Neodiprion lecontei: one gene and its partner. The protein of the gene in region 2 purifies or fractionates together with the protein of the main gene of each other region. This does not show direct contact. Links are inferred from orthologs where the notes say so. Each region holds a gene or a part of one and is shown on either strand. Other genes may lie near its edges.

Region 1 (18,189 bases), on a different chromosome or scaffold from region 2:
TATAATAAACCTGCTAGGCAGGAAATTGAAAAAAAAATAAGACTTCACTTTCTTTCAATAGCAGGAAGTAGGTGTGTAGGCAGTTCTTTTGGTAGCGTTGAATAAAATTGCGAATTAAAAGGATAAATAGAGGAAAGAATGAGGGAGATACCTTTCTTGTCCAACTTGAGCCAAGAAATAAATCCTTTGGCATCCTCATACTGAAGTCCAAAATACCAGGTCTCTCTGAGACCAATAGTTCGGCACACTAAATCAAATAAGTCTCTCCCAGTGGCTCGCCACTAAGAAAGGGAGAATTTTACAATGAAAAACATTCGAATGACATGGAGGATAGGAATCATTACGTAACACATTGTTCGTATAATTTGGGAACAATGTTTTGCAACAATAGATTCCAGAAGCTAACCTCCAAATTGAACTCAAGCTCGGCGTCCAAAGTGCAGACTTTCACCGGAAACGATTTCCCCGATTTTTTCCTACGAAACGGTGGCATTTTATCCTTCATTTTATTTATTTGACATCACGATTATTACATTTTTTTTCTTCACCATATCACTTATTTATTTATAAGGAATATACGTCGACCCACTCGCAAGAGAAAACATTATGTATTTTTTTCTCCGTCTTCTCTCACTCACTTTGACACGAGAGTAGCTACATCTGACACAGGCAATTGGAACCACCCACGAACGACCATTCTCTCACACTGACCTTAGCTGTCGGCTGCTATCGGTTGTTACGTATACAAATTTCCCTCGAATTAATCTCAGAGGTCAGATATTCACTTCAGTAACACAAAATTGTACCCAAAAGCCTTGCTACTACCTCTAGAAATTGGCCCAATTTTTTAAGTATATATTTTCCGGAAATGCAACAATCTTCGCCAAAGTATGAGAAGTTATTAAATTCGAGGTTAACAAATGCAAATATGTTTTAAAACAGATTTTCTCCGTAGTCCGCTTATATACCGAATCGGTATTTATCTGCATTAAAAATCGAATCTTATCCAATTTAATTCCATTGCTATTTTAGCCAAAAGTTTCGTAAATAAGCATAATAAATTTGCAGAAAATTCATAATCACAAAGCGGTTGACAGCTCGCGTTTTGATGGATTTAATTGACGCGTCTCTGTAAATTCATTCTAACCAAAATTGATCCGTAACCTGTGACAAATATTAAAGTTTTCGATGGTCAAGTTGGAACAATTCAAATACATACTGGAACTAAGAGATGATTTTGAACATTGATAAAAAGCCGCGTATTTCAATGATTTCAGGTACAAAATTCAACATGGTGGTCAAGTGAACGGAGTTGTTAACCTTGAACTCTTTGAACTCTATCAGGTCAAAAATCAACATAACATAGCCAATTGCTTTCATGTATATTTTATGAATGAAAATAGTAGCGTCATTACGGAGCGTGTTATGGTTTATTATTAGACAACAATAGTTATGGCTGAAAAAGGAGCGTATTTAACGGATACAGTCAAGGCTAAACCCTCGATTTTTGAAATTGTTGCGCAAGAATCTTTAGCCTCTACACTCGAGCCAGTCTTCAAAAAAATCATCTCGGTACGTCGCAGGCTCGTTTTTTTCATTATTATTATCCTGTAATTTGTTACATAGTGAATCTTATACACAGTATTTCAGTATTTGGTGTTGGTCAATCCACATCGATATGGATGGCTTGAAAGATGGTGCGATGAGGCGTATCTGGTTTTTAATGCCGCTCTACAATATCACTATCTCAAAAAATATTGTAAATATATTGAGCAATTTTTTTTACGTTTCTAACTAATTTCTCCAAATATTCGTCAGCCTAATCAAATCCATATTTATTTCAGCGGCATCATTCTCCGAAACATTTTATGGGTTGAAACGTTCTTCAGTCGTGGCAGGTTCAGATGGAAAGTTATCTACTAAGCAAGAGAAAATTTCTTTATTGCTGTTAGTCGTCTTTCCGCACTTCAGAACCAAATTATTTAGGCTTGCGGAAGAATATAAATTGGAAGTTGCTGATGGTAAAATACCTCAGAAGGTACGTGAATTCGAAAAGCTATTTATATAATTTATAAGCTTTGAATATGCTTTTTGTTGTCATCAACAGTACAAACACTTTAATTTGTTCCACATTATTTAAATAACTAATTTTTTTCAGCGATGGCAGAAACTTGTAAGGAAATTGGTAATAAATGGAAACATGATATTTCATGTTATTTATGAATGCCTAATACTCTATCGGTACCTGAGGTACATGGCTGGACGGTCAGAATATTCAACTCCGCTTCTTTGGCTGGCTTCTGTTACATTGTCTTACGCAGATGGTAAAAAATTCCTCACCATCACTGACCTTCTCATGAAGATAAGACTCGGAACATTGACCTTCAGTAATGGCATAGATTTGTTTGGAATGCTTTTTACTAGATCACTTGAATTTGGAGCTTTCTTTCTCCAGTTTCTTCGATGGTGGAATCAAGAAAATTATTACGTAAACCTGATGGCTCTGCCTACACCTGTGCCTCCTGAGGTAAATGAAAGGTATACTTACATTTGTCTTCAACAAAATACGGGGAGTTCATATTCCCTCTCCTGATGTTTTTAACAATGTATGCATCATGTTCCGAAAAATCCGGATTTTTTGTTTGCTGCACTTAAGCTAGACATGGATGAATGTCATTCCATTTTAATTTTCAATCCAGGTTCCAAAAATAGCGTTACAGTATAAAGGATTATGTCCAATCTGTCGGAAAGGTCGGCAAATCCCCACAGCTCTGCCAGTTTCAGGGTAAGTTTGGCATGTTTTAATTCCATTTTATCATGTAGTTTCACATAGCGGAAGTATCGATATGTTTTACAAAGCATCCTTACCAAGCAAACAAAATTTCTACCAAAAATAAATATTACTCTCTACGTAGGTACGTCTTCTGCTACCAGTGTATTCTAAAGTACATACGAGAATACGAGAAATGCCCGATCACAAACTATCCAGCCAAAGAGGATGACTTGATACGGTTATATGTAGAGTAGACAGTTTCAGAATAACGTTTCAACTACATACACTCACGATACCAAATGTGAAGATGCACACAAAATAGAAATAAGTCTGAAGCTTCACTGAAAAGTAATTATGATATTACTTGAAGAATAATTGCTGCCTTCCTGTTTAGTAAAATAGTATAACAATCCGTGTGGATTGGGAATAATTGTGATTCTTATCTTTTTTATACTGATGGATACATGTGACAGCATCAAATACCGAGTACTTGTATAGATATGTAAGGTTTAGGTTTTTCAACTGTTATACGTTCCATGTGAAGATACATCAATTTATTCTTATTTTCCTACCATAAAAACACACAAGTGTATAAAGAAGTGTAGTGTAAGAAACTTTTTTTATTTCTGAATAATAATTGATTGAGATATGTAAGTATAGAACTTTGCGAAGAATGGAATTCATAAGCGTGGATAAAATATGGATGTCAGCAATAGAGACAAATATTGACTGACCTTATTTAACTACGTGTACATACATGTAAACTTCTGCTAAGGTAGCATGATTTCTTGTATTAAATATACTGTGATTATGTGATATTCGATTAAACATAGTTTCTTACATAAAATTCAGTCATAACAAATGAAATGAAATATGTTGATGAACAATTATTCATGCTATGGTTTCTTCATATAACATCAACAGTTGTATTTCTGAGATAGATTTACACACTTCTAAAAGAGCTAAATCCTTGTTGTAGATGGAGTTGCAGTAGATTGATTTGGCCGACGTAAGATGGAATTTGTATGACGTATTAGCACGTTCGTAGTTCTCATATTTGGTGTCAAAAATTGGGATAAAGTATCAACACCATTACGTGGTAGACGATCAAATGGATACCCCATTGCTCGAGCATCTGGATACTTCTTGTTTCGTATTCCGCAGAAACTAGCAGCGTCACTGCATTGTCCACCTATGTCTTGTTCGATCTAACAATAAATGAAACTTTTTATTAGCAATATCGCAATGTATATATTTAAAATCAAAATATCCAGATATTTCTTCAAGCAAACATTTCCTGATACATCACAATAGACAAAATGTAAGTCCACTTGTTTAAATTGAATCTGTTCGTTACAGCTGGTTGAATTATTTCTGGCTCAAAATAGATTCATGCTACAATGCGTTTTAATCTTATTGAATGATAGACAATTAAGCCTCATTAGTATTTTTCTCAAATCCATTGATAATTTTTGTGTATTTCTAAGAAATTGCTGTTTTCTTCTTTAAATAACTTTAACCAGGTGAAAATACCTTGTCATTGTCGTAGTTGGAGATCATAACAAAAAGTTCTGTCGCATAGCCACTTTCAGTTCCTTTTGGAAGAAGCATGTGCTGAGGCCAACCACAACCACAGAAGTTAAAAGCATCAAGCTCATTAATATCAGTTGGAACATTGACAGTCAAATTTCTAAAAGTTCTTTCAAATGGAATTGTTACAGATGATAATGTCGAGTTACGCTCAATGGTGTTGGCTCCAGGTCTTACTAAAAATTTGTGAATTATGCATAAATTTTAAAGGAATGCGCTACGGTGCCATGTTTACTGGTATTAAAATTTTTAGTAATAAGTTATTTACAGTTCACGGTGAATTTGTCCAGTTCAATCATCATATTTTTTTGATCTGTGAAAGCCATAGGTCTACCAAGCTCATCTTGTTTTGGTGTCAGAAATATTCTACAGGTTCCCATTTTATTTGCTCCACTTTTGTTATTTACCTGAATTCTGTAAATATATGGAGTATACTGTAAATGTGTGAACCTTACGAGAACAGAACCTCTGGGTATGAAATCCAAGCCTCGTGACATATCAACGTCACTCTGCTGCCAGAAAGTATGAAATACGTTCTTCGGCTGATTCTCTGTCACCACTTCCACACCTGTGATTCACAGAATAAAACTGTTCGTTAGTTGCTGCTTATCACTTCTGTAGTTTTTATGCAAAGAGCACCCACGCATACTCTTTAAATTGGCTCAGTAGTTTTTTAAAAATTACTGCTACAAACCTGTAACATCAACTCCTGGGTTATTCAATTGTTCCACTGTATATGGAGGGAGCGTCCCTTTATACAGTTGAAAAATAGATTCTACCCAACCATGTAGACGATAAAACACAGGATCTCTCATAGTGACAGCTGGATCCCCAATAGGAGAAAAGGATTCCAAATATCTGTGATCCGGATCATGTATGAATGATAGTGCTATGTGCATATAGTTGTGCAAATCACCGTAATAATTAAAATTTGGAGAAAGAATACAAGCTTCCATGAGGTTTCCCAATACATCTATGCCATCCTTTTCTGTCAGTGGTATAGTTTGACCTCTCTCCTATAGTTAAAATTACCTTTAAAAATGTCTGCATGATCATACATAATGTGAATGAGGACACAGTTTTCAGATTGTGAATCAGTCTTCAATGTATTACCGTGTTGTGGCTAGTTGAAGACAGAGAAAAATAGTCTCTTACATTTATTACAGATTGAGTTGAAATTGCCTGTGCAATACGATCTCTCCATCTTTCCAGGTCTTGTATGTCAAATTGAAGTTGATCAATTGTACGATTAATGTCCTTAAGCTCTGAATTAGCTGGACGAGCTGGCCAAGCACGACTGGCTACAAGCGAATCCAGTTTGGGAAAATAAGCTTCGGCAATTGGTTCGCGCCACCTGTTCCAACGCTCCACTCGTGGAAGATCATTGCAAAATCGTTCAACGTTATATCTAGCCATAATCTGTGAATGCATGTAATACAAAAGTTCGCCACGTCTATCTTTGTTAACTATTTGCATTGGCCCGGAAGGTGGATAGACTAAGTGCCAATGCCAGTGGTGTAGATTGATACCCAAATCTTCACGAAAATATGCAAGTCTGTGCTCCACATCCAAATCAGATGCAGTGTAGTTTCGAGGAATTTCGATTGGCATCTAAAAGGCATTTAATGTTAGAACTTCGATACACGTTTGGTACTAACATACATATGGATTGGATTATTTCAGAAAATATTGCAGAAAAATCACAATGAAGCAATAATTATTAAATAATTACATACTGAGTAATTGAGTCGCATTTGTCTGTACTATTACTTAAATAACTACATCAAAATTTTTGCTTACCCTTGAGCCAGGTGCAACAAGGTTTGCTTCTTCTCGTACTTGTGCAAAAACTCCGCTTGTTACAAACTTGTCTGGAAAGACTTCGCACAAGGTAGGTATTGGCAGATCTCTGGTATCTGGTCGATGCAGAATAGCAACGGACAAACAGTAAATATACATTTGGGGATTGATTCGATCGTGACAAAAAACAGATGCAGATAGAAAATCATCATAAGTTGCCATTCCCAGTAGAATCTCAATTAGATGTCCAGCCATTTTGCGGTGGCTTGGCATGAAAAGAGAAAAATTCTCTGCGCGACCCAGATTGGTTGCTATGCCGAGTGATGGTACGCTTATTTTCTTGACAGGAATTCTAGGGACATCATCACCAACCCGTGATAAAACCGATGGAACAGATTGATATCTTTCCACCTGTAATGAATGGTTATAAAGTTCGGTAATTGATAATCCGTTGAACGGATCATACTATGTAAAATATAGGTTATCAAAATTAGAGACAGTATAAATTGATTGTATCAAGTATGGTATCAATCATGAATCAATCATCTATTCACATGACAATTAACTCATTGTTAAATTATTTAGATTCAAATTTTTCTCCATTTTATTCGAAATCCAGATATGTGGTTTGGCAATTTTATCACTTCAACCTCATAGGTGATGTAATTCACTTGAAAACGAATTATGAATATTTGGTCTTTCGCCCTGAATAATACTTACTAAATAACTTGGTGGAACGTCAAATGTGGTTGATTTATTGCCACGTGAGACAAATATTGGTTCCGATGGACGATCATAGAGATACAGTATGTCTGTCAAACTTCGCGACATGTTGGAAAACTGTCTAGCGTATAAGATGGCACAAGACTAACTACTGCAGGAATCCTTGCAGATATCTTATATAGTGAAAGAAAGGGGTGAGTAAGAGACCACATCCTCATCGTTAGCAAACATTGAATATTATGTATGCTTAACTCGTGTTTGAATCTAATTATGTACGATAAAAACAACTTTTGTGGTTCTTTATGCCGGATGTCCACTGATGGCTTGCGCCTTTCCCGCTTCCAAGATTAAAAGTGGTAAACAGATTGATAAATAAAACCACTGTTTCTTTTCGAAGCAAACTAAGTACTAGAGTTGTTACACACTTATAATTTAAAAATATATTACACTATGATTTGGTTGATTACTGCACATGGATTAAACAAGATGTAGAATGTTTGGATGATCCTTTGCTGTGAAATCACCATACTCCATCATATTGTATTTTACTGCGATAATATCTATATCTTCTTGAATAATCAGAAGATAGTAAAGTCTTCTGTGTTTAGAAAATAACACTACAAATCTTGCTTTGACTTATAGTACTAAAATATAAAATATTGTGCAATTCTTAACATAAATTATCAATTTTCTAGGTCTTTCAGATCAGTAATAATCATGATTAAGTTGCGAATGAAAGTATATGGAAAGTATGAACGAGTATAAGTATCTTGGATAGGATAAATTATTTGGTTGAATAAACGACGTTTTTAATCGGCATATATAAATTTTATTGTGGTCAAATCCTAGGATGTACATTACCAGCAGAATGTTTCAAGTAAACAAATATGGAATGATCACTATTCGTGATATATTTCTACATCTTGAAAAAGAAGTGAGTTTACAAAACGAACCTATTGTATTAAGCTCTCTCAAAGTGCTTGCTGTAGAGAAATCAGAACATGCACGAAAGAAATGAGTGATTATGGGATTGGTGGCAATATGAGTGGGTACAATTTTTTAAAAACTAAAATCGCCTAATGTTTTACTTTACCACCAATGACATATTAAACTTAGCTTGAACAAACTGCAAAGGTGGTAATAAAACGAATTAACTATATAATTAGTCTACTCAACCAAAGATAGTAACCAGCCAACGAAAAGAACATCTAAACAGCCTCAGGTTTTGTTACTGCTCGTAGTCAGTATAACTCACATAAAAACCCTTGTTTGATAATAATTTTCAAATAAATTGAAATTCTCTGTAAGTCTGATGAAGAGTATATATTTATTTCAGAGATTGACGAACTTAAATTCCCCGTTATGTACTTACTACTATGAAGATTTTTTCAGCATTTTAATTCATTTTTAGTTTATGGCCAAGACAATCAATATTGAAGAAATATCGTTATATCAGTTTTATCATAAAAATAGTCAGTTTTACATTATTGATCATTCTGACTTAAAAAACAGCTACTTTTTAATATACGATATGTTCAATCCATTTTGAATACCTCGTTACCTGAGGATGTATAGATTTGACTTCGAAACAATAAACTATGTGGATGTTTTCTGCAAATGTATGAGGTGTCGAATTATTTCTAAGACATGGATGTTTCGTCTTTGATGTTGAAAATAAGTTTGTTTAGAACAATCTTCACATCAAATCAATGGATTATATCGTCACAAAGCCACTAGCGATACTTAATTGTGTATATATGTGTATATACACGCAGTTAGAGAAACTCATCCAGTGAGTAGAGTTCCTGCTAAGTACTGGACGTGTGTTAGTTAATGGATAGATCAACTTGAATGCATTCAGCCAATGAATGGAAAGATAATTAGGAGGTGTTCAAAGAAGACGACAGAAGGGAATAAAGCAAGGCATGCAAAAAGCGAACATGGAAAGTACCTCAGTTTCAAAACTGGTGTACAAGTACCTTATAAATAGCCATCCAATCCTTTTGACTCCATTAAAAATGATTTCCAACTATTCTGTAATGATCCTGAACCTTTCCTCCTAAGCGACTGCAAGTCCGAATCCAACCTAGAGCATTCCATGAACCCTATGCGGTGAGGCGCGTTCCTCATTCATGTCTCATGTAATTGAAACTGATCGAAATATGAATCCTTCTGCCAAATATCCTGTCCCATCCACTTGACAAGTCCAAATGGTATGTATTATATTATCCATTGAATTTATCCAGATCGCAGAATCCTCCATGCGTAATAATCAATCCCGCGAGGCTTCTGAATCCCAATAAATTCCAGTCCTGTCCATCTCCCTGTTCCTTTCGCAGCAGATATATTTTCGCGGTATCCAAATCCACAAAAAACTATAGTCCGTTCACGTCAAAAGAAGAAAGTCTCAATTAAGTGAAATCCTCTTCTTTCCGTTTTGCATTTCTTTTAAATATAAATGATGCGAATATTAAACACTGGTATTTATATGTTTTAATAAGTTCGAAGTATATCGTTAAAAGTGTGATTTAAACATTTTTAGTTTAACCAAAGTATAGCATTGTTGAAGTCAAACAAAAACCGATAAAATTGGCATTAATAGAACTGTTCTTGTTGAAGCTTCTCTGTTTATGATATCAGATTCCTGAGATAGAAAAACAACTTTGAAGCAAAATAATATTCCAATGATGTTAAAGTTCAAAATATAATTATATACAACTATCCATGTATTTTTTGAGATGATTGCATAGTTAATGTATAGACCTTTAGATTGATTCTAACACATTCGAGACCAGGAGTGTAGTTGGCTATAACTTGTTTAACATAGTATGCAGAATGTTTCATAATCAATCCAAGGGTTTAAACAACATTTTGTTAGCACTAACTATTTTTCTCTAAATTTGAGCAATCGTACTAATAGTAATCATACTAATATCAATTACTAATGCAAAGTATTACTATATATCAGAGAGAAATGCAAAAAGATGATCATAATAATGTAAGAATGGTGTGGTACTTTATTTTAATTGATGCCTGGATATAAAACTCCTGGGTATAAGCTACAGAAAAAAAATGTGATTTATTGAAGAACTTTGATTGGTAGTGAAAGATGTTTCAATATTGACACATGGATATTTACCACTCACAAATTTTTCAGCTTGAAACAAAAAAAAAAAAAATAATAAAACTTAAATGAAATGAATATGCATATGAATTTTTAAAGAACAAATCATCTCAACTTGATACATTAAAACATGGTATATGTTCTTGATGTTTTAGCCACGTTTAAAAATATTATTAAATTTCTACACTGAAGTGTTTGTGGATGGACGTGAACAGACTGTAATTTAGGAAGAAAAAAGGAAGAAACACGAAAAAAACCACGTCAATTTCACGGAGTTTTCAATGGACTTGCCAATGTGTATCAGCTTGAATCCAATCCCAGCTAATCGATAATCCTCGAATCGAATATATCCTTGCTTGAGGATCGCGTTCCTGAATTTCCTCTTGTCCAAATTTATCCTTAATCCTGATTATCCTCACTGCGACTTATCTTTAATCCGCTTAAATTTATGCTCCATACAAATCCATCCAAAATGCATTCCATCCCATCCCATCGTCAAGTATGAACGAAGCATTATATCCATCCAAGAAGTAACATCGTGTAGTTTCTCAGTTTTTCATTCATTGTGTTACAATCCAATCCAATATACAAAAGAAGAAAAAATACATTAGTTTCTTGATACAATAATAGATAATCGATATCAGATTCGAAACTTTAAACCCCAAACGCGTATTCTGCAATCCCTAAGCGATTGTAACGACAACAGGAATGAATCTTTGTATTTCTTTCGAATTATGAACACATATTAACTCTGTAATAGAATTAAATATATTTTAAAATACAATGAAAATACGTTATAGGCTATTCCTCTGTTGCAATCGAAGGAATCGCTTCAAGATTCAGATAACATATAATTGGTGTGAAATCGTTTTGCGACGAGTTGTGTAAGGAACATTGCTGAATTTGAGCATGCAACTCTGACCTATGACTCGTATATACAATTGATAATATTCTCAAAGGAATGGATATTTTACTTAAACATTTATAATATGTAATACATGTAAATATATTCAGATGTTCCCATTGGTAAAAATATTTATAATATTCAGAGCCTCTTTGCATTATCGACTCAGAGCGAAAGCTTATAAATATGTGTGCAGTTAGAAAATCTTTTCACATTTACATCTTTTAAGCACAGGATTGAGTTATCCATCAAAGACTTATAGAAATGGATTGGTGGTTTTAATAATGCAGGAGAATACGTTTTACTTTCTGCATAAGCTTTAAAATGACTATACTTTGTGGTTTGCCACGTATATGCTTTGAAAAAGTGTTTTTCACAATCCATTTTCATAAGTGTTAAGACTTATGAATACTGAAACTTGTCTGTTGCAGATAGTTTTCTCATTAAAAGTTATAAACGTATTAAACATAAGGTGGGAGATGACGCGGTGTACAGCATGTTATGAGTAAAAAGATGCAGTGGGGTTGTCAGCGCAATGTCTCGCAATGCTCATGATCACCAAATCATTGTTCTCATATTTGGCTACCATGAGGTCTCATCTGACAAAGATCTGTTATCCTGCAATAATAATTATGGCTTAAAACAATTTTTATGGGCAAAAAATAAAACATTAAATCACGCGTTGATCCGTATTTGTAGATGATAATGATATATCACGTCATATTTGTTGTGAATTGCGAATTTTACGCCAGCTCCGGATCTACAATCCTATCCCTGATCTAGCTGATAATGATAATTAATCGGGATTGCAAACATTATTCCTTTACATGGGCATAGTAAAGAATATGCACATGTGCGCATTTTAATATTATGGTACCAAGAAATGGAACGAAGACTTTATGTAATATTCCAAGAAATTGCAGATTGATTTGATAAAACAATAGTGGTACAGAATTATTCGACATATCGAATATTACTCACGATGTATATTCAAAAATTTCGGCAATCACTATAGGTTTCGGTGACGATTCATATCTTGTATCAAAGCACTATTATGTTTAAAAAAATGTGGCCGTTAAAGATGTTTTCCTTGAACTTTTGTAATTGTCTAGTTCAATTGGTACAAATTTATTTGAGTAAACCGAACACTGTTAACTTTACAGACATTATGCATGAAAAGCTATTTCAATATCAGAACATCAACCACAATTGACAATTAATAAAACTGATTAGGTTTAACTTGTAGAAAAAAAGTGATGCAATTCACAACAAGTATAATGATAGTATTCAATTCCTTTCAATTTTTCGATGCCAAAAACTTGTCAAGATTTCCCTCTGAAGTGATCAAGAAAGGGATGAAAAATTATTAGGAAAAAGAATCATGTTTATCAAAGACTGTGAAAAATCTTATGTTACACTGCACCTGTGATCGTATGTATTACACAGGTAACAACATACTTGTCAATTATGCAACGACAACCTGAATACAGTTTGTAAAATACAATTTACAATTCATTCAGCCAAGATAAATGTCTTTAGTGAGTCAAAGCAGTGAAAACGAAATTCGGCAAGGCATGAGTGGTTGAAAAATCACTCATATTATCACTGAGGTTATATAGTATTGATACGTACACACTAATCGTATGAGCGAGACCTGGAGCGTGAGCGTGACCGCGAGTAGTTGCGACGCAATGGCGAATAGGTAGGAGAACCACGACGACGTGGACTGTAACTCCTCGAACGAGTACGTCCTCTCTCTCGATCTTCACTGCGGCCGCGATCTCCACTGCTGTGGTCTTCTTTGACACGAATGTATGCAACTTCACCCTGAGAATTGGGATAAAAAGTTAACGTGACAGTCACAAGAAATAAGACATTTACGATCATTGTTTAAATAATAATATATTTGAAAAATGCTGAAGTAGTGAGAAACTGTTGTGGCTAAGGCATGTATTAATATTGAGGCAAACAAAATTTATTGTAATTGTCATGAAATAAGGTGCAATCCTTCAAAAAATTTTAGGCCAATTCAATTACTGCAATATTTTTACCTGCAGTACATTAAAAATTAACTTAAATCGATAAGCTAGAATTTTCAGTTTTAGAAAATTACATTTTTTCAATGTCTAGTTTGTCATTTACAGAAGAGAAAATATGTCTGTGATATGGAAAAAGATAGTTCAGTTAATTGCACTCCACTAAATAATTACAAATAAACATAGAAGTTGTACCTCATGCGATCTGAACCTGGAGTCATCTAATTTTTTGACCGCATACTTCATGTCTTCGTAACGTAGAAACTCAACGACACCAGTCCCATCTTTGTAGACATCTGCAAAGCAAACGTCACCTGCTTCGCGCATGTGGTCTTTGAGATCCTGCCAGCTTCCCGAGGATGGCAACCCCGTAACCAATACTCTATACTGAGATCGACGAGCCGGAGGACCACGGCCTCTAGAATTGCTCATTTCACCTCTGCCACCTCTACCGCCACTATCACCACCTCCTGCACCACGTCCCCCGCGAAAGTTGTTACTTGGTCCCCCACCCCTGGGAAATTCTACTCTCAACCTATAGCCATCATAGTCATAACCATCTCTAGCATGTACTGCATCTTCGGCATCCCTGTAATTTCAATATAAACATCTTTACTTATTTGTTTATTTTTATTCATTTGATCAAAATGTTTCAGGTGAAGTTTACTGAAGCTGTGTAACTTAAAATTAGTTCACATCATATATGAAATTGGTTTGCAACATGAAACTATCATTCTACAATATGAACTGAATATCTTCGAAAAGATTAGTCAACTATTGGAGATACTTTGAGCCTACAAAAGACACTGTCAAGAAGTCAGATTGTTAGAAATTCCTAATCGCCAAACTCTGCAAAATTTGTAGTAACTTTGAAAAAAACTTTTGCCTAGCTATTTATGCTGTCCAACTGAATGAAATTGAAGACTGATTTACATGACAGCTAGTAAGGTTTACTGTTAAAAAATCTACAATCTTTTTTTAAAAAAATCATGTTTTACTACTCCTCATCAACTATGCAAATCTTGATTCCGAGTAGAACCTGTTTTGTATCATAAAATATATCTGAAACAGTCTTGAGTTTCGATAAACTGCAAGTCGGAGAACCAAAACCTGCAGTTTTTTGATTTTTCTTGTTTTTTTTTTTTTTTTATTTTATTTATTCATTTTTTATTTTTTTGTCGAGTTTTTATAATGTTTGATCTGTTCAGTAAAATTCCTTGATATTTCCCAATTATGCTGTCTTGTAAAAACTATAGGATGCGCAAAGTTAATAATTCAGTAACCTTGCAAAACTTGTATTTTTTAGGTCAGTGTGGCTTGTTGCACTATAAAGTAACCAGACGCACATCCAGAATTTTTGGCTGAGAGGTTAGCAGACTACGTATTTGGAGTGATATGTAATTCACTTTATAGATGGAATAGACCCTGAGTTTTTACATACAGAATAACAACTATAACAGCAGCATGGTTGGTAGCCACAAACTGGCAGCGAAATCATAACCCAGTGTGTGTTGGGGTTTCGGATGACAACGCAATACAATAATTTATCAAGCCCGTAGCAAAAGTATGATGAAGGTCGAACTTCTTTCAAAAAATAAGACACAGAAAGTTCTATGGCCCAAAGTCTCAAACCCAAGCTTGCCAGTTCACTGCTCCAGAGCCTTAGCCACTGCGCCACCTGCTCGCTCAAGGATGGAATATACCCGAAAGTATTTTGCTATAAAGCCGTGAAATTTCTCGACTGCCAATCTTGCCGTCATTTACATCCACTGACTGCCAGTGCCTAGATACTGTGGGCTTTAATTGATGTAAAGTTTGAATACAGTCATATGTAATTTCCATTCAAATGTGCGCTCGGTGTAACAAGTTTCACAGTGACTTCTGCAAGCTATGCAATATGCATGAACTCTCATCCGCTAAAACGATTAAGCACAATTTAACTTTAAAGTATCGCCGTGTATTTGTGCATAAATGCGGATACGTGTTAATAGACGTAATTCGCTCATGAATTCAAATGGTTGGTAAATTTGTGGTTGCTATCAAAAATAGATCACGCAATGTAAGTACAAGGTTACGTTGCATAGGCCTAGAGATGAGCATGATTATTAGCGACAAGGGCGGAATAGAGCGCGCTGAGCATAATATGCGATAAACAAGTATGCCCAACACCCGTATGTTAACCTAACAGGTAGAAACGCAAAAAAATACGTACCTTGGGTCGTCGAACTCAACGAAGGCGAATGGCGGCCCCCTACGATTTTTCAAGTCAACAAAGGTAACTTTACCAAATTTGTAGAAAAGATCCTGAATGTCTTTGGTACGAATATCTGGTGGTAAATTTCCCACGTAAATCCTACACTCGTTCCTACCACCGTGAGACATCTTGATTAAACGGAATAACTAACAGAGTCTAGTTAATCATCAAATGCAACAGTGACGATATTTGCGCCTTAATTGTTCACGGCCGCTGCTTCACTCTTAGTGGAACAAACAAGATGGCGTGGCCCGGTCACAGTTCGGAAGCGGATACTTTAATTGATTTGACTAGTCTTTTTGAATTGGTTTAATTAAAACTGAGAAGAGAAAGATTCTTGTGAATAACAAAAAATTAATCATTATTCATGGGTTGAAGATTTTTCAACTTATTTTCAATGCTACAAACCCGAGAGGGAGCTTTGATTTCAGTTACAGATGTTGATTTGACGGTGACCAATTGTTGCAAGTACGATGTTTTTGTAGTTTTCATTTCACTCCGTACATATATATTCAGGAGAAAAAAATCAATCACTTATGCTTTGATAAACGGAAAAAGGACATATAAATAAAAGCAAGCTGGTGATTGTCAAAGATACGCACGTTACCGTGACGGTTTATTTATATCCGATCCTGAAATTTGTGAAGTCACTATTGAGTCTTAAAAAAATTTTCGTTTTTCCAGAAATTACAGTAGGTAAGTTTAGATATTTGATTACACATGTTACCGTACGAATCCCTCGTTAACGTATCCCATCCCATTTTCTTTTCATGAACTCTAATATTTTACCGTCAATATACTAAATTTCACAATAATCGCTAGGCTTGGAGGCGTATGTTGCATTATGTTTTCATTACGTACAATATTAATTGGAACAAGCCAAAATTCCCTGCTGCTGGTGTATATTCGACTTAAAATGGTGAATAAAGAAAAAATAAGTCCGCAAAACTAACAATTTGAACAATAACAAGAAATGATGTGATATTTCTCGCTGCGGGTGTAATAATGTTTGAATAACGTTTGAATGCGTCATCGGTATCCCTTCTTGCGCGGGCTGTACGACGCAAGGCATGCCGGGTTGATAGAGGACCCTGATAGAAGACCCTACACCTCGACCAATCAGGGTCGAGATACGTTGAGGTACAATCTTCAACCCGTGAAGGGATTTTTGGTGTTTGGCTCGAGCGCGGAAAAATCGCGGAGTAAATTCGGTTTGCCGCGGTAAACTGTGTGAAACGTAATCGAAAGAGCCTCAAGTGTTTGCCAGAATATAAACTAGCTGAGTGTAGCTTTTTAAAAGGTATGTTAACAGCTACTTTACGAAATATTTCGGTTTCAAACGGTCGGGGGGGCAATGATCTTACTGTCAAGTTTGGCTTTCGTTGGCGGTCTCTATATCACCCATTACGTATTCGCGAATATTAAACATGACATATATTCGTTACCAATTACAATTCTATCACTCGTTATTCTCGATCGCGTGCCGATCCTGCGACATATTTTCTTATCGATAAAACAATACCCGTCCCGCGCTTCTCCTCGCGCTTCGCCGTCGCTCCCGCCCGCTTATATTAACCGAGCCTCTTCTGCTGCTGGCGATCTGGCATCTGGTATTGACATGCCGGTATTTGACGTTCACGCCACTGTCAAAATCGCGCGTGTTCTACCTCCGAGGTTCATTTAAAATTAATTCGTATATTAGGTGCGAAACCTCACAAATTACACCTTACTCTCCAAAATTCGTTGTTTTCGTTTCCATAATCTCATCTTCTTTCGTTTGTGCGATTTAGTATATTTCATCTGAGTGCATAGCCCTAAATTTATACTCTGAATCACTCATGTCGATCAAGTAGCTCCAAAATTTACGTGTCTATTGTAATTACGTATCAGACACCCCACTGGTTACTGTCGATGTGCAGTCGAAACTGTATTTCAACCTGCCAACTGAACAAAGTATTTACTCGAGGTGGTGAGACAGAGTTTATTACTATTTTTGTAGCACATATTCAAAGTCTTGTGGCAAGTTGATATATTTTTTTTTCTGCTTACAAATCTTTCAAGTGCTGCTACTGTTGGTTAATTTTCCAAAGGGTACTTTAACGCTGTTTGCGACTTGACAATATTAACCACTGACGAGTATCTGAAAGCTTTTCACTCACTTTTTTCTCAGCAGAATCTTTTACAAAATTTAGAATTATCTTTTTATCACAAAATGAGCAAATGAAATTTTTCTAGTTTACCATGATTGCTATCTATTGAGAAAAGTATTTTACTTTTTTTTTTGTTGGACGTCCTAAAATATCTTGTGGAAAAATTAATGCATCGACTTATAGTTTTGTATAATGCACATGAGCACCCATTAGAATGACGATAAACATGAGAAGGCAGCATAAGAGATAAAATTTTAATTGTATGCTTTGCAAAGATAATAATTCACATTGGCCTACCACCTTGAGAATATTTTGCACTTGAGAACCGGCTCATAAAATTGTAAAAACAGATGCAAAATTTGGAATGTTTATTATTGGTAAAACAAGATACGTACTAGATTATTTGAAACAGTAGGGATTTATTTTATACTCTTGGGCATCTGCTCGTTTTTTTTTTTCTGTTTTCTGATTAATTTTCCACATACCAACTAAATGCATAGTGTGGAACGAATGTTTCACTCATTTTGCTACAAACTTGACAAGAATACCAAACAACATGAATATTACAGCTGATTGTAAATATGAAATATTTTTGAAAGAGTAGCCAACTAGAAAGTTTAATATCTAAGGAATCGTGAAAACTTATGAACATCAACATTGACTGATAAATTTCAATGTAAATATGTCCAAAAATAATTAACTTTGAAATTTGGGTCCATTTCTTCTCACTTTCATTTCTAATAATCCCAGCGCAGGTGTTATTTCAATGAATTATTTAATCGTCAGTAATCCATTATATAGCAATCAGTTGATTTATTAATACCGAGTAATTAAT
Region 2 (14,731 bases):
GATTTTTCAGTCATCCTAGATACCTACAACAAAAAAACATAAACACACCCGTGTATGAAAAACAGACAGAATTAGATGCACAAAGGAATTTCGTGGTCGGAAATTCAATACTTTCACTTAGTTTTGCAGGTAAGTTCTACTTCCATTTTTACCCTGCTTTTTTCCTGTAGCAAGTTCTGAAAATCACATCGAAGCTGAAGAGTGTAAGAGTTAACGCTGAGATTGCTGCGAGAAAATTCATTTTCATGTCCGTTACAATGGTAAAAAGGATCTTGAAGTCCATTGATTCTATCTGTGATAGGCTGAAGTTTTGCGTATCTGCTGCGCACCATGTCTGAAAATAAAAAAAATGAGTCAATGTCTACTCTACTAAGCTATGCATAAAATTGTTCGAGCTGTACGATTCAAAGTTGATTACTTGCACATGTTATTCATGTTGAATTTTCTTCAAATATTGGAAGGGTCGAAACATTCCTAGGCTTCGTTAATTGAGGAATTGAGGAAAAGAAAAATCGTTGAGAAGATTTTAGAAATAAAATAGGGATAAACGCTGTGACATAGAAGACTAGGATAATGTGTCGCAGGTGCTTTAGTTAGAAAATCTAAAGTTATAAATTACCTTTTCCATTAATTCTCTCCATTTTGAAAATTATGTTGATTGAATTGCAGTTAGTCAGAGAAACATGATTGATGAAAATAATCCTTTGTTATTAACACGTAAAATTAAGTCGAGATTGAAATTGATATGACAATTTAAAGTTGAGCAATAATTTGCAATGAATTATGATATGATGACAATTTATTGTTTAACCGTAAGTGTCAAAATCCCATGTATTCAAGAGTGAAGTTAAAATTGAACGTGGGCTCGAAAATAAATGAAGAAAATGAAACAAATAAATAGATCGACTATCGTCCTTGTTCAAAATGTTTAAAGTTAATCCGCGTTCCGCAATGCTTTATGGGAAGTCCCCGCGCTTACCAAACCAGAGCAGACGACTTATTTAATTCACGATAAGAAAGCTAGTAGCCGTATTTTTCCAACTTTACTCAAGCGCGATGCTTTCGCGCCTCGGCTCAATTTATTAATTAATAGGAATTTTTCAACGTCACGTGCTTTGTCATTAACTAAGAACTTATTCTTATTATGGAATTTAAATGAGAGTGACTTTTCAGTGAGCGAAATTCAATCGCCGCACGCTTCGTTGATCAGTAAACTAACTATGGCGGTTCGGATATCCCATTTATTCCGTAATAGATTTAAACAATTTTTTAAAACCTATAGTACAAATTCAGCTGAGATAAGCAAAGCTAAGGATCCTGAAGTGACGGAGCAAGTGAAGGAACGGCTACTAGATCGTTGGGGTAAGAACAGGTCATGTTAATTTTTGTTCGAGGTTAAGTTAGGTTAGGTATTTACAGGTTATATTATATTTATATAAATTTGACGAAGCAATTCACAGAATATAGGGAGATCGGGTGTTAGCTTAGAGTATGCGAACTTGTTCGATAATCATTCGATAATTGTCACCTGTTTTATTTTCATTGTAGCAAAATATTGGAAGAATCTCTTCATTGACTACAGAGATGTGGCTAAGGATGTTGCACAAGGATGTAAGGATCGGCCTATTCGTGCTTCAATCTATTTCTCTCGTAAGTGAAAAATCATATTTCTTAATTTCCCGCAGTGAAACCTGCTGGAATGAGAGACAACTTAGTTTTTTTTTCTTTATCTTTATGATCTTAGATGTATCACTATACTTCTTTGTAAAGGATTCGCAGCTCATAAAAATACATGTTTAAGCCCACTATAGCTGCTCATCATTAGTGCAGATAACACTAATTATTGCAGTGAATCAAACCAAAAATACAAAAGAAAAATATATTTATTTAGAGTCAGAGGAGCCAGTAAATGTTCTGTATTCGGTATGAAATTTTCGTGTGAATTGGTTTATGTTTCAGTTCTAGGCAGTGTATACTACTTTTCACGACACAACCCTAGTCCAGATTCGTACAGAAACATGTTGATAGAAGAATCAAACAAGATGATGATGGTTGGAGAACCAATTCGGAATCGTCAAAGTGTAAGGCATTTGAAATCGATAGAACAGTGCTTCAATGAAGGGATCATACGCAGGTTGAGCTTGGGGATTGTTTCTTTTATATGGTTGGATAACTACGATAAAGAATGTGCTCACTACAAAGCAACATGTTCGTATCTCAAACCACAGTATTTAGGATTTCATCACAGAATAGTTGACATTGGTTTCATGGATAAGTGGTGGCTACTGGAGGACAAAATGACTGATTTTGATATAAATGAAGAGGAATTTAAAAACTTCTCCACTTCGCCAGATAAAATCGGCTCATAATGAGAATATCGAATATTATTGACGGATAAAATTACAAATATTAATTATTATAATAGTATTTATACATATGTACATATAGAAGGTTTATTCATTGAATAAATGTGCCTTCACACACAAGTATGGTAAATTTTTTTAAACTTATATATGCACTATTGATACTTTGGGATCGAAAGCTGGAATTTATTAGAGAATTATATTACAAGATGATGGAAAAAGAACGTGGCGGAATACTGCGCTTGAAAAAGATTCGAATGCTTCGAATTCATTAATTTCTGATAAAGTTGTAAATAATTTACTATTATTGGCCTATTCTGTTAGATCTAATCAAAAACTCGCGTGAAGGTAGTTGAAATGAAAACGTTATTTCAAGATATTTTCAATGAATTGTCCAACTCTCGTCAAAAGTCTCATCTAATTTCATGAACGGTGTAAAAAATCCCAACAGAGTTACCTTCTTATGAGAATATTCATGGTCCATGATCGATTGTGGCAACGGTTGCGCAGCGGGAGATAGAGAGAGGAGAGGAAAGCTGAAGACAAAATAGCTAATGCCGGTTGACAGCCGCAGTGATCCGTGGCTGTTATAAAATTCGGTAAAAGTTCAAGAATTCAAAATCTGGATTCGAAATCGCATCGATCCGCGACCGTGAAACGATACCGGATTTAATATTCAAGGGAAGCGTTCTTGTACCACCGAAATTTCAAACAAACACGAAGACGATTTTGTTTTCTCATACAACAATCGGCGAATAACAGATATAGAATCCAAAACTAGAGCTTGATGTTGTAACAGGATGGATCGCGAACTGATTGAAAAATTCATCGAAGTCACAGGTTAGCCCAAAAGCGAACAGTAATAATTGAAATATCAATTTCATTATACTCAGTTCTATATTTTGCCGTTAACACAAATTCAATGCTTCAATGTGACTGTACGAACAGTTGAATCGGTAAACAAAGAATGCAGGAGTCCGTTTCTCTGTTTTACTTCACATTGAAATGTTTATTTCCAAAGAATTGTATTACAGTAATATTCTACCCATTTTACTAGCCTTACCAGCATAACACATTTACCATGGGTTTTATTTCAATTCACCCTAGCTGACCTTGATCTCATCTGACCTAATCTTGAGTTTCCCAAGTTTTCCTCACTTTGATTCATTCATCTAACCTAACTTTATCCAATACTGCCCTTTTTGTGTTAACCTAACCTAATTTGGTTTCAAATTATTTTCTTCCCTCTCTTTCATGAGAACATTTTTTCCAAATTCCAGGATCCAGCGAGGCTGTCGCCAGACAGTACCTCGTGGTGGCTGACGGCAATGTAGAGACTGCTATTAGCCTGATGTTTGAAGGTGGCGGAGCAGAGGCAGTAGCAGACGTAGACGGTCAAACTGAACCCCCAGAACCAGAGATCAGGCCGCCAATTCTACCTACTCGAGAAGTGTTGGTACCAACACAGCCCGTCTGTGCGTTCCCCAGAGCATCGAACAGTGTGTTTGATAGATTTAGGGACTTTGCGGTAGAAACACGTAAGGAACAAGAGGCTCTCGATAACCGGGACGGCTTTTTATCCTTATAAATCGGCGTCGGCTTACCTTATTTCATCGTACTTTTTAATTACCAAAAAGTTTATGCAAGATATGTTTGTAATACGCGATGCAAATATCATCTTGATGCTGAGAATCGGCGTGAAACATCAATTTTTAGAGTTTCCTTTTGAGTTACATGGATTCAAGTGAGTTTCAAGCTAATATGCGATGTTTAAATTGAATGAATTAACTGATGCCAGAACGCCAGGAGGAGGAAATGGCGCGGAGGGTAACAGGGGTGAAAAAAATGTCACCAAGGAAGTCCAAGCGCCTGGAAGACCTCTTCAGACCCCCTTACGACATCATGTTTTTGGGATCATTCATCGAGGCTAGGGAACATGCGAAGCTCATAAACCGATGGCTTCTTGTTAATGTACAAAATCCACTTGAATTCTCATGCCAAATACTTAACAGAGACCTGTGGCCCAATGAGCAGATCAGGGATATGGTCAGGGACCATTTCGTTCTGTGGCAGGTAATTATATCGATCGCATACTTATTATTAGGAAATTTAACTCATACTTGACCTTCCATCGGTAACAGAGAAAAAGAAATATTATATATATGTAGATCCAGTAACGGCCTTTAATTTTCTACTCATGTGTAACTAGCGTTTGCCATATCCTCAGGTCATATCTAACACATCTGACGGTCAACGCTTCATCGACTTCTACAATGTCACTGATTACCCTTATCTAGCTGTTCTGGACCCAAGAACAGGCGAGTGTGTCCGGACATACGACCGGTTTACGGTAGAACATCTAGTTTCAGGGCTAGGTGACATGTTGAGCAATCATCTATCCCCGGAAACTGCACCGCAGGTTCCTTCTACCGCTACAGACGACTGGCTATCATGCCCTGCAGGTTCCATGGTCCGGCGGTGCGATGTGCCTTCCGAATCTTCGGCAAGTGTTCGTATGATGAAATACTTTGGTGATCATGTTTTCTTTATGCTGCGAAAGGCAAGAAAGAAATTGATAATTTTCGTAAATTTTAATTTTTGATCTTAGGGTATGACCCCAGAAAGCAAAAAAGCCAGAGGAATTCGAGACACGGCCGTGGAATCAGGTAACAAATTAACTACACCAAGGCATCAATGAAATACTCTGTTGTCCCATCATAATAAGCCATATTGCAATCTTCCAGCTAACAATGAACGTGTCGATGCTGGGCCCAGCGCGAGTAACGTAATCCTTCCTCGTAGTGGCGTTAGTATCTTAGGAAAACGGTCGCGAACGGAGGAATTATCAAAGACGAAAAAGCACGAAATTCTACATTCTTTATTACAGAAAAAGGTACGTCTAACACTAGTTGCAAATCAGCTTACCCCCACATTCTCTCTGAACCTCTTTTTACTTTTTCCTATCTTGTCCCTTTGATTTCTTACCTCTAAAATTTGAAATATATGATTGCAGAACGGTGAACCGAGTAATTCTGAGCCCAACTCAACCGTTGTAAATTCAAGTAAGTATAAATAACTTGATTTTTCACCTCTTGCATAATTTGATCCACAAATTATTGAGTCTTCGACTATTTGTTATGATCGTTCAACAGATGACGAGCCGTCCTTGCGTTTATGTCTGCGACTGCCAAATGGGGGCAAAGAAACTATCTCTATGGGAGCTAGCGACACGATAAAAGTAAGTCTTCAAAGAGTATAACCTCGTTTTGATTTTTTATCATTAGAATACAGTGGAAAAACTCAAAATACGATCCATCGCGAAGTTCTTATATCATGACATTTCTACTGCTTTTTTTTTTTCCACAGAGCTTCCTGGGCAGAATGGAAACTATGGGTTATCCGCCTTCGGAGCACACGTACCTAGTTCCATTTCCTAGGACAAATATTGGGGCTCTTTCTCAACAAACTCGACTGTCAGAAACTATTCTGTTTCCTTCAAATACCGTTTTTATAACAAAAATATAATTTGATCCCGTAATGTGGTAATTCAAGATTTGAGGGGAAAAAAATCGCAAATGATACTCCCTTGCCAGCGGTCGTTTGTATTTATTGAAAAGAAAAAAGGAAAAAAATTCGTCTCGTATCTGTAATACTTGCGCTTTTAAATTTTTCGTTACTCTTTATTCAGTTTATACATATAACTGAAAAGTTCTAGACACTTTTAACCGTTCTTGATTAACTTTTAGCAATGTTCAATATACCAAAAGAAGAATCGCCTCGTGTAAATAATTTCATGATCAAGGCTGAACAAAGTTAACTGATTCTCAATAATTGCAGATCTACTAATTGTTTTAATCATGTCTGAAACCAATCCAAATAAAAACAACCAATCGAATTTTATTCCATTGGATCTACATTTAATTTGGCGTTAGTCCAACTTTTACTTTCAATCCTTATTCGTATGCGATTTCAATTGGTAAATTTTTATAAGTACTAAAGTGAACCATTTATATATTACTTAAGAAAATGCAAAGCCGAAAATTGGTAAAACTGAACACTTGTACTTTATCAGTAATGAGCATATAAATCGAAAACAACTGTATAATTTGCAAAAATTCGTATTTGTAATTCATTTTGTTCCCGAATTATACAAAATAACAGTGAAATGTTTCACGAACAAATACTATGTCATAGGCTCAATTAGTATGTCACGTCGTAACGTACGTAAAAAGTATAATTGACGAATATATATTATATCTAATTAAGCCTAGTGAAAATGATTCGAACACTAATTTGAAATCGTACAAAATTGAAATACAACAAAGTCAATACTGCCGTAAGCCTCCACGTCGCATCATCGGCTGTGACATTCTATTCGGAGGGGTAATAGATATGTCCAAATAATCGCCGATCGTGAACCTGAGGAAAAAAGTTGCCCAAATAAGTGACAAATAGTAATATGTTCTGGCGAGTAGTGATATTCAGTGACTCAACAAACGAAATTAAGTAAATCAAATTGTTTTTTGTAACTCTAGTGAAAGAGCCTGAAAACAATAAAGTTCGGTATATTTCAATAGTGTTAGTGAAGATTAATATTGTGAATATTAATAATGTGGACCGAGTACCTAGCCTGTGCGAGAGTTTTATTATCATCTGCTCCTCTTTGACCAGAACAAGTTACCCCAATTTCTCGCATTCGATAACTAGAATTACGAACTTCAGGAGTAACCAGAGAAAAATCGAAATAGGTTCCTTTTTTACGCGCGTCAGGATTCACCTCTTTCACGAGCGCAGTTATCTCACGTAGCGTGGCATCCATCCTGAAAACAAGACATGAACACATGCAATCACTGTTCACGTCTTGGTTCGACGTGAGGAAAGATAATTTTCTTTCAACTACATACCAAGTGTAAATTTGCAGCTCATTTGACGGCACATTTCCTCTACTGTATTCGACGATGTTGTGATGTCGTCCGATGTTACAAAATACTCTCAAAAGTAGCGGGCAGGTCTAAATAGCGGCATGAGTGTGAGAAAGTGAGGTTAAGATGCATGAGATTTTACAGATTGGTTACACATTCCAGTTATTCATCTGGGATATAGAAACACCAATGATAAGCAAAATATTACTACGATACCTTTTCTCTGTCAACCGGCTTATCAGAAATTTGTTTTTCGTCAACAATCATGGATTCCACTGCAGACGCCATTTTTAAGGTAATCAAATTTAGCCGTAAATGTATTGGGCGCTTAGAGCATACACTACTTGGTGACTTCACGCGTGAGGAAAGTCGAGCAGAGAAATGACGGAGAGAGGAGGGTTATGTAGGTTCTACTCTGGTTTCCTCGCTCTATTCCTGATTGGCCGACACGTGATTCCTCCTGGCCAATCAAATTGCAGAATGCGAGAGAGGGAGTAACACGGATATATTTTTCTCTCTCATCACTGCGGCCGCATATTTCCCGAGTTTGATGGAAACTGTAGCTTCCTCGAGTGGTATATGCTCTAAGATTGAGAGAAATATTCAACGCTAGCCTGTAGTCGGTCAAGTAGTACCCTGCAATAATTATCAGCACTAGTTTGCACTTGGCACATTTCAACTCGGCAATGAAGCGTTTACGACAGACACTACAATTATTTTGATTTTCAATTTGAACTAAACGATAACTATAGAAACAATGCAATACGAGAATGAAAATGAAACGTTGGCCGACAAGTCAAGATGCGCCGGAGCCCGAGCAGACCTGAAAATGTGCCTTCTCGAAAGCGACTGCTGTAAAATTGTACGTGAGTTGTTGGCCTGATTTCGAGGTTATCGTTATGTGTTCATCCCAATTTTCTCTGAAATCGGTGTAACATTCGTCAGTGATATATGATGAAATTTTTTGGACCATTACAATTTTCTTTTCATTACTTACTTATATATTTATTTGTTTATTTGGTTATTGATTTTCGAACAAATGATTCTTTTATACTTCCGAGGTCTCTTTGAATTTCAGATGATACCTCTGTGTAGTTTGATTAATTGCGCAAGTTTCATTTGTTCAGCATAAACGCACCCCCAGGGAATGCCTAAGAACAACTGATGGAACTGTCCCTGACAAATGTCAGGCACTGAGAGTAACTTTCTTCGAATGTAAACGCTCGCTTGTGAGTAGTTTCTAATTCTTAACGATACAATCTCACTTAAAGGGAAGCCCCCATTCGTGTTTATTCCATGTTTTTTTTACGAGGGTGGTGACTAGGGATAATTTCAAAGCTTGTGAATCCACTTTTATTTTTTTTAAATTCTAATTTAACATTTTTCATCAACTGGACGTATTATTGCAAGAAATAAAAATTCATGTGATATATTCAGGGTGGTGAGATCCCTTTTTGAAAAACATATAGCGTCGCTATGTCTGTACTATTTTTGCTAGATACCTTCATCCTTTTCCTTCTAAAAAATTAATGTACGCGAAATACCTTTGTATGCAGCTAGACGGTAGACGTCGATTCCGCGGACCAAAGGGATACTAGCATCTTCAACAGCAGGCAATTCTTGTGATTATTTAAATTTTTTCCGATTACAGCAAAGCCTGTATTTTTCCAAATATGTATTCTGTCGACTTTGAAATATTAATCCTCTGTTTATGACAACTCTAGAAACTTCTACAATATATCATTGCTGTGAAACTAGTGTATTAATTCATTTTTGTGACACATAAAAAAGTACGAGTTTCACTGTGTCCTATATCAGCTTTGAATTGCTGTTACGCGAACAATAGATAGAAGTATTATACCATGTAAGTACGCATACATAGAGTATATATATCTGCACATTTACTAATGTCATGTACCAAATTATATAAGTATTTATTATTATCTATTATCCAAATGTACGATAATCAATGATGGTATTGATTATGTTCAATGAAAATTGTACATAAAGTTGAGATCATCTACACAACAATGTCATAACGCAATAAACGTATGATTAATCAAAACTGAAATCAAGTCGAGGAAAATATGTAGCCAAACTTTATTATTATTATTATTGTTGTTATTATACAATTACGTATTACTATTGTTAATATTACTATCGCAGTACATGCATCAATTGAAAATATATCGATATAATATGTATTAGATTTGTGTTACCGCTCAGCGGAGAAATACTGACGTTATAATTTTCATTTTGGGCTTCCGGTTTTTCCGATATTGTTCTACTTCAAATTCAAATCCGATTCAAGTTTATGTATCTTTCATGTCGTATACTACATCTCCATTGTAGCATATAGTATAATCAGTAATATATACTTCTAAATAGGTAGGTAATACATTTTTCGTATGTTTATCGTAGAACGTGAGACAAAAACGCTAACGTATTACTATTATTATTGTTTTTCAATTTTATCCCAACGATTTATGTTACGTTCTCTGATCACTTCGTTGTGGGCATATAAGACGAATGCAGAAAAATATTGTCGAATTTATAAAGCTTCGAAAATGAGTTGGTCAAGGATTCGGGAACGACTAAAAAACAAGTACTTCGTTTACTTGGATTTCTTGGTGAGCATGGCGCGATATTTTCGTACGTAATAAGTAAGATATTACAGGTAGAGAAGAATGTGATAACAGAAAAAATGTAATCATTAGACCTGGGGTAAGCGTAACGGAAACACCGTTATTATTCGATCATAATCCGTAGGTATAAGATTAATATTATCATGATTAAAACTGTTCGCCGATTCGCCAATTGAGCGACGGTATTCTTTATTTTATTTGTATTTCGATTTGTTGAGCGTTGATTAGATGAACAGGTATTATGTGTATGTTGCATCACAAAACATTTCGATTTCTCTTATTAGCTTCTTATTACAACGTGTTGTACCTGTACAACGATTGAAATTAGCCTTCGATAAAAATATATGAAAAATTGCACATACGATATTATATATTCATACCTATGCATATATTCGTTTTATAAACGAGTCGAAAAAGGTCTGTTGGTTCGCTTATGATGTATTTATTATATCTTCCTTAATCGCGATATTATCTTTATACACTTGTATGCATTATACATGTTACGTATATCGTAAACGTAAGTTTTTTTTTTCCCAGGGCAATAAAATTAAATTTGAGTATAAAAAACCGACGTCATTATCATTGTGCGTAGTACAAGAATTTGGTTACGTATGACGAAGAATTTGCCTTTCCCAGCATGCACAAACGGGGAAAAAATATAAATAAATAACGAACTTGCAGGAACACCGATCAGATATGTATTAATATTTTGTTGCTGTTATTTTTTCAACCTACAACCATTCAGCAATCTCTGGTATCGCTTCACCACTTCGATTAAACGGTTATTTGCTTAGCTACGTATTATTAAGCTTAGATTTTCTAGTTTGATTCAAAATTTATACCTGCTAAATTCGAATAGGTTTGATCGAGTTTTATGGAAATATATCACAAGGCTACTGATCAACTAGGATCTGGTATCTTACAGATTTAAACACAATCTAGTACAATCGTGATTGAAACTGAAACGTACGTTTTTTCCTAGTCCTCCTAATTTCCCTATGAAATTGCGAGTATTGAAGCTAATCAGTATAATTGCTGATCATTATTAATTTTCTATCGTGTAATTTCATCATGATATAATATGTAATAAGAATACGAGTGATCGTTAAAATTTTGTCATTAAAGCCTATATGTCTGCAATGTATACTATCGTCGATATGTATGTACATACATGTATGTAGTAACACATCCGACGACTATGTAACGAAGTATTATTTCGATAGAGAGACCGTCTCGGGTAAAGTTGAACGTAATTTTATCTAAGTATATTACTATAATTATTATAATGGGATAATAGTTATTGTCCCGTATCGAGGCTTGCGGTTTTTAGAAGGCGAGTCATGCATTGATATAATAATTTTTCGTTAGATAGATTATTCAAACTGCAAAGGCATCCAAAATACTTCTAAAGCTATCGTACGAATCAAATTCGCAATAACGAAAAAAACAACAAACGTAATACGCTCTTTAAATATCACAGCCTTATTAATCGTAAGATATGTCTTTACTCTACGTATAGTAGCGCATATTTATATTATTGTATGTATTTACCATTATTTAACGATATAGATTTCAGGACGCCCTGCGTTTTGAAGATCATTATTATCATCGTATAAATTTAATTATCTACTGATGATGGTTAGCAATTGCTAAATAATCTAAATATGAGCATTCCGACTGGCGTAAGGAGTGAAAACTAACTGCTGTAAAGTTTAAGTCTACATAAATTCGTCTATTCTTTGTCTAATCAATGATTAGGGCGTAAATTCTATACTCACAAGGACGAGTCTTTCCTACGTCAATTCTCTCTAAGCAATATCGTCTGTGTCTTGCTCAAATTTGTTCTTTATGTGTTTTATAATATATTACATACTTTGTAGATAGTCTATGCATGCGTGCGAATTGTAAGTACTCGTTTATGCACTAAGAAAAAATGTTTAAAAAATTGTCTTCCTCTACAATATATGACAGACCGCATCGCGTATAGAAAAAGCATATTGTATAGCCTATTAGATATGATTAATAATTGGTCATAAAGATCGTCAATAATGGAAAAATTCCTGCACTCGGTATTGACGTGCCCTTACCGTTCCAGAAGGGGCGCTGTTTTATTGCTTTTTCATGTCAGTTGTTATAATTACGGAAACTGGCACACTAATAGGATTTTCGGGCTATTAGAATATTTTTTTCGTCCGTTAATAACACTGAACGCTCATATTTAATATTACGTATTCATATAATCGTATTTCTGTGTGTCGCTCATTTCGTACGGCGATAAATTTGCTAGATTTTGCCAGATTGTATGCATTGTTCACACATCTAATAACTAATACACAGTAAGAACAAAAAATGACCGTTTGTAACAGAAATCTTTATCATCGTACTTCAACAATTGACCAGTTACGTTTTTACGATGAAATTTCCTGTTGGTCGAAATCTATCGAGGCTGCAAGGTTTCACAAAGGTTACGCTTGATTTCTCGAGTTGTCCGTTCTCTGAAATTCTTCACATCTTTTCAACTTGAAAATCCGAAAGATTCCAGAAACCTTACATAATCCTCTTCATCTCTTTACGATATGTTACGAATGTCGTTTAAATACTATAAACTTCTTGAGATGTCAATCAATTTTCGTAGCCACCGATTTCTAACATCGATAAACGCTTGAGATTGATGAAATGATCTGTCTAATCGTCCTCACAAGTGCACCTGTATAGACCAACCCTTTACTAGTCAATGAATCAAAGTTGCCAAACCACGAAAATTGAAATAGATCAAACAGTTAGGCTCAACTGTTCTTTTAATTAATCGTGTTTTCCATCAAATCAATCACGTTGACTAGTTAATTTCCTAAAAAGAAACTCTATAAAATCGGTAATTGACAGATATTGATCTCACAGCCTTAGTGCTTCTACATACCGCGTTAATTGATTAGTTGACATCGATAAAAACTTGCAGGTTAAAAACGACGAGTATACATGCGAGGTGCAACTACTCGTCGCCTTCAAATTGGCGTAAAAAAATTTTCTCAAAACAGAGTCAGAAGCACACCGATGGCCTGTAGAGTCCCGTGTATCCACAGAGACGGGCGCGGAGTGCAGGCAGCAAAATTGCAGCAGCAGAAAGGTTGTCTTGTAGCTGTGCGCATTCACATATCAAAAGATACATCTTGTCACCGGGTGACATCGATTTGTGGAGCGTGATGCGCCGTAGTCCGACAGATTTTGGCAGATATCTGTATATCATTCGTGCTCCTGCGGTAAAATTCGGTAGAACATCAATTTTGTAGTAGTGATTATTTCGTAGTAGTGATATAACAGTGTAGCCACTAAATCTTCATCACAAAATTCCCTGTCTTTTTCACACTGTCCCGCCTAACCGATGCGTGCAATCGTTTGGAAGTTAATATTTAGGAATATTTAAAGATTAAAGAGAAACTTCCGCTGGTGGTAAAAAGGATTTGTATTCGATCTAATTTATATGAAACTTAAAAAAATTGTGGGATGCATTTGTATGAAAAAAATACAGTAAATGATTGCCTGACTTTCCGCAAATAGCCCTGACATTTCACTGACTATTCCAGAATTTCAGAATTCCATGAAATTTCCAGGTTCTCCAGGGTTCCCTGACCCGTGACCACCGAGTATAATAGTATATTGTGATACAAGTGCGAGAAAGCGACCATTATGAGCATGCTGTGAAGTTGGCCGCACGAGTAATACAGCTGCTGCACATGGTACAGTGATATTCGTGTATTCCTGCACACTTCACGTCACACGGCATACATATGGTGGCTTTCATGCCGAAGTGTCACATAACTGTTTATGCAACAAATGCATGGGAAGTACTGCTTCTTCGGGCTGCTGCAGCGAGTTAGAGAAGTGGAAAGCGCTGGTGCGAGAAGTGAACGAGAAGAAAGCACTAGTGCGAGAATTACAGTTAAGCCATTTTGCACATGCGCAGTATCTGTATTCTATCCCTGCATGTAAAGCGCTACTTACACCACTCTCTGCAAGCACGATAAGTAGCACTTCTCATGCATGCATTGCATAAAGTCATCTAACACAGTCACGCAGAAGGACTGTAAATCTCTAACGAAATCTCATCAGGACTAAGTAATTCGGTATTCTTGACATAATAGATCGTGCTGCTTGTTATTGTCAACTATTCTTACCCGTCCAATAAAGCCAATTGCGTTCGAACTTGAGGCCGTCGTCGCCTTCGAAAACCTTGAAGACAGAAATGATGTAGCCAGTCGTAGCGAGCGGCGGTCGGCCTCCAGGTGGCTCAAGCGGAGGCCGAGCTATCGTGGCGACTTCGTTGAACACATCCAAGGTGTGACTGGCTGCGTATTTGATCTCCCTGGGGTCGAATTTCTGGAGAGCACGGCACTGAGCCTCGTGATGAAATTCACCCGGATTTCTCGTAAGTTTGTTTATGAAGTAGTACGAGATGAAGGGAAACTCGGCTGGAATTATGAATATCACGATTCAACGAGAGCCTTGTGAACATTTTTAATATCAAGATGTGTAATGTGTTATTTCGGTATCAGGGTACCAAGAAAAGTAGAATTATACAAACGGAGTCGATGGATCTGACTGACTGTGTTATGTCTATTCCTGAGCGCTAGGATTGAAAGACTCAGCACAGCCTCGCGTCAAATATGTAGGTACAATAACATGATGTCAAGTAAAAAATCGGTAACAAATTCAAGCACGTTTCCAGGACATTTCTACGATATTTTCAGATTATTCAAGAACATTAAAAATAAAATATTTCCAGGACACAAGAAAAATTTAGTTG

What was found.
Region 1: the proteins of histone deacetylase complex subunit SAP18 (region 2) and serine/arginine-rich splicing factor 1A purify together in Homo sapiens (co-immunoprecipitation; 4 studies listed by BioGRID and IntAct, with this or other methods). This does not show direct contact. The link is inferred for Neodiprion lecontei from reciprocal best matches to the Homo sapiens genes SAP18 and SRSF1.

What each region holds. Positions count from the first base shown.
Region 1 is NC_060262.1:33,691,798-33,709,986, forward strand, and holds serine/arginine-rich splicing factor 1A, read right to left. Parts: upstream 15,449-18,189; 5' UTR 15,333-15,448; coding exon 15,163-15,332; intron 13,540-15,162; coding exon 13,146-13,539; intron 12,742-13,145; coding exon 12,550-12,741; 3' UTR 12,547-12,549; intron 11,533-12,546; 3' UTR 10,552-11,532; downstream 1-10,551. Other genes in the region: merlin, read right to left, coding at 152-281, 407-505; peroxisome assembly protein 12, read left to right, coding at 1,453-1,572, 1,651-1,759, 1,845-2,038, 2,159-2,527, 2,700-2,785, 2,916-3,027; phenoloxidase 1, read right to left, coding at 3,736-3,981, 4,307-4,539, 4,632-4,931, 5,058-5,379, 5,519-5,974, 6,164-6,574, 6,884-6,994. UniProt on the Homo sapiens protein: Plays a role in preventing exon skipping, ensuring the accuracy of splicing and regulating alternative splicing.
Region 2 is NC_060264.1:30,477,761-30,492,491, forward strand, and holds histone deacetylase complex subunit SAP18, read right to left. Parts: upstream 7,662-14,731; 5' UTR 7,574-7,661; coding exon 7,502-7,573; intron 7,375-7,501; coding exon 7,268-7,374; intron 7,184-7,267; coding exon 6,989-7,183; intron 6,783-6,988; coding exon 6,689-6,782; 3' UTR 6,466-6,688; downstream 1-6,465. Other genes in the region: uncharacterized protein LOC124294430, read right to left, coding at 1-23, 153-334, 620-641; mitochondrial import inner membrane translocase subunit Tim29, read left to right, coding at 1,221-1,362, 1,549-1,650, 1,960-2,369; UBX domain-containing protein 7, read left to right, coding at 3,164-3,203, 3,644-3,901, 4,162-4,436, 4,591-4,872, 4,972-5,029, 5,108-5,256, 5,377-5,425, 5,516-5,601 and 1 more; cytochrome c oxidase assembly factor 5, read left to right, coding at 8,043-8,147, 8,413-8,514, 8,842-8,883; uncharacterized protein LOC107228101, read right to left, coding at 12,968-13,182, 14,103-14,396. UniProt on the Homo sapiens protein: Component of the SIN3-repressing complex. Enhances the ability of SIN3-HDAC1-mediated transcriptional repression. When tethered to the promoter, it can direct the formation of a repressive complex to core histone proteins.